2 linked regions of the Nothobranchius furzeri genome follow. The protein of the gene in region 2 binds, or shares a complex with, the protein of the main gene of each other region. Links are inferred from orthologs where the notes say so. Each region holds a gene or a part of one and is shown on either strand. Other genes may lie near its edges. The genes, in order: polr2g and gtf2e2.

Region 1 (4,445 bases), on a different chromosome or scaffold from region 2:
GATTTCTGATGACGTCACACCGGTGCGCGAAGGTGCGGGTTCCAACCCACAGGAGAGAAGAGAGAGAGGAGGTAAACAGCGAGTTGATCGACTGAACTGATGTCTTTGAGCAAAAGACGCGGTGATCATGCAGGTGTCTCTTTCTGTTCCGACGCTGCAACACGTAATATTTTTAATTTATTAAGCCTATAATTTATTTTTACTCAGTAATGGATATCATTTAAAATGTAGTGAATTACAATTCTTTTTTAAAAACTTACTCAAGTAAAAGTAAAAGTACAGCTTTTAAAAACGACTTAAAAAGTATAAATATACAAAAAAGCTACTCAATTACAGTAACGTGAGTAAATGTAATTCGTTACTTTCCACCTCTGCCAAGTAGCACCAAAGTTGTCAGCGTGAGTAAACAAACGTACTGCATGCTAGAAATTAAGTCCGGGTTGCAATAAACAGGAGTTTTCCTTTAAGCACATAAGCGTGAATATACAACTACGTGTTGGACTTGGTATGCTAATTAAGTTGGGCTGTGAAGCGCCTCCCAAATTCGCTGTTTATGTTTTTGTTTATTTATTTGGCAGACAAAACTTGGATCGGAGACAACTCGCGTGGGAAATTGCAATGTAGCCATGCGGCGTCTTCTTCTTCTGTTTGTCTGGGAGGCGGAGGCTGCTTTACGGCATCTGGCTGTCGTGCGTGTCGGTGTACTTGAAGAAGGCTGTGTATAATAGTCCATAATATCGATACCACAGGGATGGAATATCTCATTTAGATACCACTTTTAGTATCGATTTATATCTGGGTATCGATTTTTTTGACAACACTAGTAGCCACAGCTGCCCTGGGGTGCTTTGACAGAGGCGAGGCTGCCGAGCACTGGCGCCACCGGTCCCTCCGACCACCACCAGCAGACAATGTGGGTTAAGTGTCTTGCCCAAGGACACAATAACAAACTGAGCGGGGCTCAAACCTGCAGCCTTCCGATTACGGGGCGAGCACTTAACTCCTGTGCCACCGTCGCCCCAAGGGAGCATGAGGCAGCATTTTCACGCATGGATCAGCCACCACGGTCCAGACCTCAACCTCATTGAGAATCTTTGTGATGTGCTGGAGAAGGATTTGTGCAGCGGTCAGACTCTACCACCATCAATGCAAGATATTGGTGAAATATTAATGCAACACTGGATGGCAACAAATCTGGTGACGTTGGAGAAGCTCATCGAAAGAACACCACTGCGAATGTGTGACGTAATCAAAGCTAAAGGTGGTCCAACGAAGTATTGGAATGTGTGACGTTTTTTGGATGGCAGCTTTTCTTTGGGCCAGGCAGTGTGTATAAATAATATGAAGTAATAAGGAAACATGAACTAAACAACTGTAGTGACTTTAAAAAAGAACATAAACTCACAATGTCATTCTTGTCGACTCGTGTTCCCACGATCTTCAGCCGGATCTCATCATCTTGCTGGATTACAATGTCCTATAAAAAGTAAGAAGCATCAACAAAAGTGTGATAGAGCAACATTTACACATTAGGGGGAAAAAAAGCAGAACTTTTTACATGCTGAAGTTGATTTTTATTAATATGACTGTTTAAACAAGCAGCAGTAAAATAGAAAAGTTACAGATATTCAACCTCATCGCCAGTCTTGTAGCAAGGTGGATTAGAATTGGGGTCGAACTCCATTTCTGTGGGGATGGACTGAAAATAAAAATATGATCAAAACAACATTAAATAAATAATGAAATAAAAAGATGATTCTAGTGAAACCGATGCTTTAACAGACTTACATGGCGAGAGATGAAGCAAGACATGGGACCGATTTCTGTGAACAATCCAACCTGCAAGCAAACAGAAAAAGGTTAAAAAAGGCGAGGCGCAAACGTACTGGCATAACAATCCTCAATTTGTTTAGTTTTCACAAGCGTGAAGTTCTGCTAAAGAATTAAGATCTGCTACGAAGAACAATGACTAAAGATGAGTGAGCCATACCTTGTTAACCTGAGTGACCACAGCGTCCACCACCTCGCCCTTAAACGGGCGGAAAACAATGGCCTTGTACTTGACTGGATAGAGGACAAAACCTCTGCCTGGCTGGATGACACCCGCTCCGATGTTGTCGATAGTGGTTACTGCAATGACAAATCCATACCTGGGAAACAGAAAAAACAAAAGAGTTAATCCAACTTTTTAACAAGGCAGCAACACGTTGATCTAGTTATGCCATAGTCAATGTTTCATTAACGCTTTCAGTCGTTGCAAAGCCCAGTTAAAGTTATCATGAACAATAATAAAATGCTGTTACTCACTTGCCAGTACAAGTTCCCTCTACCTCTGTGAAAAGCTTCTGCTTCACGGTGTTAAGTAGATTGGGACCGAAGTACCTGGGGTGGAGAAGGATTTCATGCTCCAAAGAAATCTGTAAAGTGCAACAAAATCCTTCATCTGTAAATTGGTTGTGCACACGTTCGTATTTTAAAAATGCATAAACCAGCCTCTGTAGATTGAGTAATGGATGAATAAAATGTCACGTTGATTAAAAATATGAAAACTAGTCCAGGTTAGAAGAAGAGGGAAAGACTACGACGTTGTTGATAAACGATCCAAATCGAAACATCCATTAAGCCTTCAGCTACCCCCGATTACGAGAACAATGTACATACTCACGTGATAAAACATTTCTTGATAAGTTTAAATTCCACCTTAAAAATATACTTTTAAATACGTCGAAGTGGCTTCTCTTGTTCTTTGTTGAAAGGGAATCATGGACGTCCGGCGTAGAAGAACCTCTTCCGGGTCAAAGAGGATTCTTGAAATTTTGTTGTAAATTGTATTGTAACGGGAAATAAAAAAAATAAAATTATCTTCAGGGATTTTTAAAAACTGTTTATTTAAAAACAATTAACGGAATAAGTAATCCGATTTAAACGAGTTCCACCGTCGGTTCATTTTAATACTGCTTTCTTGTGGCGAGGAAGTATTACTGCAGAGAGGCGTGGAAAACAATAGGCGTGACTGAAAGCCGCTCTGTGATTGGCTGTTTTTTAGTGGACTCTTATCTGACACACAGACGAAGCGAAAACAATTTATTTAGGTGAAAGTAATCCAACTTTAGCACAATCGTCATGTTGTTTAGCGGTCATTGGGACCACACTACAGGTGGTTTGAAGTTTTAAAGAACGAAATAGATTAAAATAAACAATTCTGCTACATCATTAGAAAGAAAATAGGAATTTTGTCTCCGTGGTTAAAATTACTCTCCAAGTCCTCCTTCTGTCATGGCGAGCAACCTCGTTTTCAAGTTGCTTCGTCTTCCTGTCACCTCTAAAATTGTAAGTAGCGAACCGTAGATTTGATTGTGTGTTTTGTTTATCTGACTCTTCGGCTGTCTGTGCAGGCGTGTCTCCGGTCGGGTCGCTTGTTTCGGGGTAAGGTGGCTGCAGTGGCGGCTGGGACCAGACCGTCCTCCGGCACCCTTCCGGAGAAGATCAGCCGCTATCCCATTCCTTACAAGAAGGACCTGCCTTATGATATAGTTGAGCTCATGGAGGAAGTGGAGTCAAAGGTTTTAAATTAAAACCAGCCTTTAGGTCTCGCGATCACACGCCTTTATCATTAATCTGCTCATATTTGTGCACAGGGAGGCTTCCTGCCAAATGTCTTCAAAGCCCTCTCCCACAGACCAGCTGAGTTCAGAGCCTTCTTCGCTTACTACAATGAACTGATGAACAAGGACACAGGTTGGTTTTTTCTGATGTAGTGGCCTCAGTTCAGATAAATACAGACACACGATGCAGTGTTTAGAATAAAAAGCAACCCGTTCTTCAGCACCTTCAACCCTCCCAACGTGTCCAAGCCAGGGTTCAGTGAACTAAACACTTCGTTCACTTCTTATTTGTGTTGCAAATAAGGATGTTTGTCCTGTGTTATGACTCAACAGGACTAGAGGATAACCTTTTGTAGAAGCTGTGATGCTGGATTTGTTCCAGCGGATGATCACGTGATGAAAGTGAAAAAAATTGTTAAATATATTTTCAATAAGTCAAGTTTAATTTGTGTCTCTACCTCTTTCTGTTTTTGCAGAACAATTGGGAGGAATGTGGATTTTGTATGTATTATGTTAACTAACTGAACATCTAAAGAAAACAGGTGACTCTTAAAGTTAGACTGCAAGTGTTAAACAGATGATCAAGCAGCTAACGTTTTTATTTTAACCCTCCCACTGTCTTTATGGGTGACCCCGCAAGGAAAGGGGTGAGGCGGTGCTCACTACTCACCCCTGCCACATGGATTCAAGGGATAAACCATCAACCCTGCTCAATGGTCTGTTTTCCTCGCGGGGTCACGCCTATTAGGACAGTGGGAGGGTTCAAAACACAAAACGACTCTTAAAGAGATTTTTCCCAAACCGTTCCAAACTCGACCAGGTACCTGAATCTTAGTATCA
Region 2 (4,615 bases):
TGGTGCTGCGTTCAGCCATTTTCTCCCATGTGGGTTAACATAGTATGTCTGTTACAAAAATACACATTTGATACTTGTCACATTAAATACGCCAATGCATTTCTTATAGTACCATATTTTAATTTTGTTGTGATAAAAGTAACTTTTAATAGTTGTAATCACTAATAAACAGAACAAATTCGTCACTTGTTTGCATATGCAAACTTTGGAAATAAATTTGATGGGTAAATGTATTAAAGCAACTCTAAAGAGATCTAACACTGTAAGTTATTGTTTTGAAACTGGTTTCAGCGTTTCTTGGGCCAGAAACTTGAGCAATTTCACATTGAACAGCACTGTGGCCCTCTGCTGGCAGATCCACTCCATGACGACAGTGTTTGACAGGGAGGGGGTGTCATCAATACAGTTGACAATAATATTTTTTGTTCTAAAGTGTGGATCTGTTTACTTTGTGGCTAATTCAGTATCAGCTGGCACGTGTTAGCATTAGGTCGTTGTCAATGTTAGCTACAGCAGGTTGCAACAGGTTTGCTTATGAAAGTTGTAATTCTGCTTTCAACCAGTAGGAGGGAAAATGAGAAACTTAGGCCTAGTCCACACGTAGCCGGGTTTTTAAAAAAACAAATATCCGCCCCTCCAAAAACTTGCATTTACACCACCTCGTTTTAAAAAAAACTCTGTCCACTCGTACCAGGATAAATACGTTGTTAAGGACACGCCAGACCTGTAGGCGGCAGTACTTCTCCCGTTCTTAACCTCGTCCTTCGTCTGTGGTCTTCCGCAAGGAGCAGTAATTCCGCTTGCAAAAACAAACAAGCAAAAAGCGCTTGGACAATTGATAAAGCGAGTGCAGCTCTGAGGGCATTCATGCTGTCGGCTAGTGTAAACACAGGTCGCACACGTGATGTCAGCGTTTTTTTGTCGCGGAAAGTGACGTTGCGGACCTTAAAACTCCGGTTTTGTCTGTCCACACGCAGACACCCAAAACGGAGAAAACGCAGATCTTCACTTTGGCCGGAGTTTTTAAAAAGATCCGTTTTTGTGTGAAAAAAACTCAGTTTTCGTGTGGATGACAGGCCAAAACGTAGAAAAATATCTACGTTTTGGCAAATCCCCGGCTACGTGTGGACAGGGCCTTAAGTGTTGCTGTAAATATTGAGAATCATGACTTCCACAATCAGGCACCCTAGGTTTTTGCCATTTATTTATTAAATTCCTGGGTGTAATTGTGCACACGGATAGTGCAATATCAAAAATAAATATTGTTTGCAGCCCTAGAAATCCTAATGACATTGTTAATATTAAGGACCAACTCATTGTGGCCAGACAAGTACGACGACAGAGTTCTGCTACTGAGACATCAGGATCCACCAGCAGTGTGTTGGTTAGAAACTGCTGCTATGTGACATCTTGCAAGCTAAAAAGCCCAACTGTTACCAAGACAACAGGAGAAATTAGAAAGTGAGCACACACAGAAACAAGTTATACTCAGAATTACACACCAAACTTGGACTACATTAGACGACAAACTGATGTCAGTGTAAAACCACTGATTGTTTTGAGCTCATTCAGATATTTCATGGATGTGTCAGATAATCATGATTACTACAAATCCTGCAGTGAATAAGTCTAGACTCAACATCCTTGTCACATTTTAGGTCCAGACACATATTCTCTTCTAATCCTCAGCCTAAATGATAACTGTAGGTTACTATCAAATGTAACTTTTAAAATGTACATGTGATAACTTTAAGTTATTTAAGGCAGATGCTAGCAAACACAGATTTTTAAAAAGTATCTGATTTTCTAGATGTAAATGGCAGCAAATAAGGTGACAATAGAGATATGCAGCTACTGAGATCATGGCAGAAGCAGCAAGATCTGGAGTGGGGAATACGGTTTTCAAGACTCTCAAATCAGGTGTAACACTTTAAGTCACACTTGCTCTGTTTGTCACCTACATAATCTCAAAGCAGTAGTCCACTAGTCTGGCAAGCCAGACTAAATAAATATATTATTTAAATATATTAACTAAATCTGCAAAGCAGGAATTTGTTCTTGTTCACTTGGCTAGTAGTCCACATGCTTTAAGACTGACAGCAAACCAGCAACAAACATGGGATTCATAAACTTGCAACAACGGCAAAATAATGTTTACTGTGAGAATCATGAACCATGTTAAGAGCAAGTGCTTCACCTACCAGTGCTGTGTTTGGAGCCAGATGAGCTCTCCTTGTCTAGTTTTGGTTTCTTCTTCTTGTGTGATCCAGAATCGGACGTAGTCTGTCTTTTCTCTACAGCTGGAGTAGACAGGGCTCTCTTTTTGAACAGCTCCCTCTCTCTAAGTAGAGCCGGATCCATCCTGGCTGACAGGAGCAGAATATATTAGACACTTGCAGTCTGCGAGTAATATACCACAAACAAATGGATTCACATGTTTCTGATCTAACACTCATTTTTTAAAAATATTTAAAATAACTAATTGTTTTGTTTACATACCAGTGCTGTCATTTTTACACGGTGAATTGTCTCCCAGCTGTTTGTATTTCTCTTGAAAATATGGAAAGTTTTAATAAACTATTTTAAAGTTTTATTAAATCTTTTTCAGGTGTAGGAAGCTTAGGGGAATTAAAATAGTGCGTGTACCTTAACTAGACACCACCTTGTAGTTTTAAAATGAACCAGACCGTAACGAACACTGGTCAGTAAACCCCTATTACCGTTATCAAACTAACGTTATTGACTTATCTAACACAATCATGTTTAATTACGAAAAGTGCTAAATTACTGAGCAAACGAAACACAATTATACACTATTCTGGTGGCTAACGTAGCGTTAGCATGTTCAGTTAGTGAACGTTACCTGACACTTTGTTTCTCTTCACTCAGAACAAAAACTAGTTAGTCCAAAAGGACTAACTAATGACGAACGATACAAAATATATTACTCTCCAAATCGTGTTTTCCGTTGTTTCTGCGACTAAACAAATTACAGTTAGCAAAAAACTTCTCACTGATTTCTTCTATGTAACACTTCCGTTTCTTCTGTTCGACTACTCCCACATCGATAGGTAATCCTTGAACGTCATTGCGTCATTTCACACATGCGTGGAAAACATTTCAGTGATGCTTTTTTCGGACTCTTAAACACACATTTTATGATATATTGAAATATATTTTCCGGCATTTAAAAAAATGTATCATTTTTGTATGGAAGCCCATTCCTGCCACTCAGATAAAAAAACATTATTTCATAATTATGATTCAGCTATAGTGTTTATATACATATCTATATCTATGATGGCAATCATATGCGACTGGAGGTGAGCTCAAGTCGCCATTTTGCTGCTGCCAGGTCCTCTTGTGTGATAATATCCCAATTAAACCATATACCTTGGTATTACAATTCAATCAGAAAGGTGTATAAGCCAGATAAATACAGGGAATAAGATTGCTCAAACTGATAAATCCTTAAATCATTGGTTAATCAGCAACCAAATTAATTTAGGACAAAAATGGCAGAAGTAATAGTTCAGAAAATTATCAGCCTATAGCTCTGGCTAATGTTTTGTCTAAAGTGCTTGAACATGTTCTTTTGGACAAACTGATGCCATTTGCTAGAACTACAGACTCTCAGTTTTGGTTTAAAGTGGTGTGTTTACATGCAGCCAGTAACCCTTTAAAACCCCGAATATTCACAATAACCCGGTTCCGCAATGTAAACACCGCCAAAAACCCAGATATGCTCATAATATATATATATATATATATATATATATATATATATATATATATATATATATATATATATATATATATATATATATATATATATATATATATATATATATATGTATGAACTGTTAAATTAAAAGAGTGCAGGACTGGTTGCTTGGTGGGAAATCAGTTATTCAATCACCTCATGTATGCTGATGATTTGGTGGTATTTTCCCCATACAGTGCTGGTCTGCAGCAGCTGCTTGAGGTACTTAAAAGAAACATTGTCGTTGTTGTCTTCCTCCGCTTATCCGGGTATGCAGAGGTCACCACTGGCCACTAGGGTGTGTGGTGATCAAACCTCGAGAGAAAAAGGTGTATTCAGGGATGTGCCTGAAGTCACGTACATGTGACTATCCCCTGCAGGGACGTGCCTGAAGTCACGTACATGTGACTATCCCTGACTGTACATACTGCTGCTTCTCATTTGTATTGCTGCTGCTCCACCATCACGCTGCTGTCTATCCATGCTACTGTTCGACTTGTATCTGTAAGTCTTCACCTGCTTGTTAAGCTAATGTAAAGGTCACATTGATTTTCTCCAAAATGACTGTGCTTAAATTGCTCTGAAAAGCAAATAATCACATCAGCACCAAGAAACTTCATTTCCCATGATGCTTTGCACACGGAAGCATTGGGATGATGTCACCGCCTAATACCAGAAACACGTTCTGCGCATGTGCGGGAGGCCGTGGAGCTTTTCCCGCGAACTAAGACCATAAATCTTCAGCAGAGACAAAGAAACCTCGTTCTTTTGCCCAGGATACCTGGCGGTAAGGACACGCTTGTCGAACGCTCCGACTCCCTTGAGCACGCGGAAGCTCTAAGTGCCCAAGTT

What was found.
Region 1: gtf2e2 (region 2) and polr2g share a complex: the UniProt entries of both Homo sapiens proteins name them as parts of the TBP-based Pol II pre-initiation complex. The link is inferred for Nothobranchius furzeri from reciprocal best matches to the Homo sapiens genes GTF2E2 and POLR2G.

The regions. Positions count from the first base shown.
Region 1 is NC_091741.1:90,872,844-90,877,288, forward strand, and holds the start of polr2g (DNA-directed RNA polymerase II subunit RPB7), read right to left. Parts: upstream 2,831-4,445; 5' UTR 2,678-2,830; coding exon 2,666-2,677; intron 2,418-2,665; coding exon 2,308-2,417; intron 2,151-2,307; coding exon 1,991-2,150; intron 1,840-1,990; coding exon 1,789-1,839; intron 1,700-1,788; coding exon 1,634-1,699; intron 1,478-1,633; coding exon 1,406-1,477; intron 1-1,405. Other genes in the region: uncharacterized protein si:ch211-175m2.5, read left to right, coding at 3,277-3,330, 3,396-3,563, 3,639-3,738. UniProt on the Homo sapiens protein: Core component of RNA polymerase II (Pol II), a DNA-dependent RNA polymerase which synthesizes mRNA precursors and many functional non-coding RNAs using the four ribonucleoside triphosphates as substrates.
Region 2 is NC_091747.1:77,627,092-77,631,706, reverse strand, and holds the start of gtf2e2 (transcription initiation factor IIE subunit beta), read right to left. Parts: upstream 3,073-4,615; 5' UTR 2,864-3,072; intron 2,367-2,863; 5' UTR 2,362-2,366; coding exon 2,202-2,361; intron 1-2,201. UniProt on the Homo sapiens protein: Recruits TFIIH to the initiation complex and stimulates the RNA polymerase II C-terminal domain kinase and DNA-dependent ATPase activities of TFIIH. Both TFIIH and TFIIE are required for promoter clearance by RNA polymerase.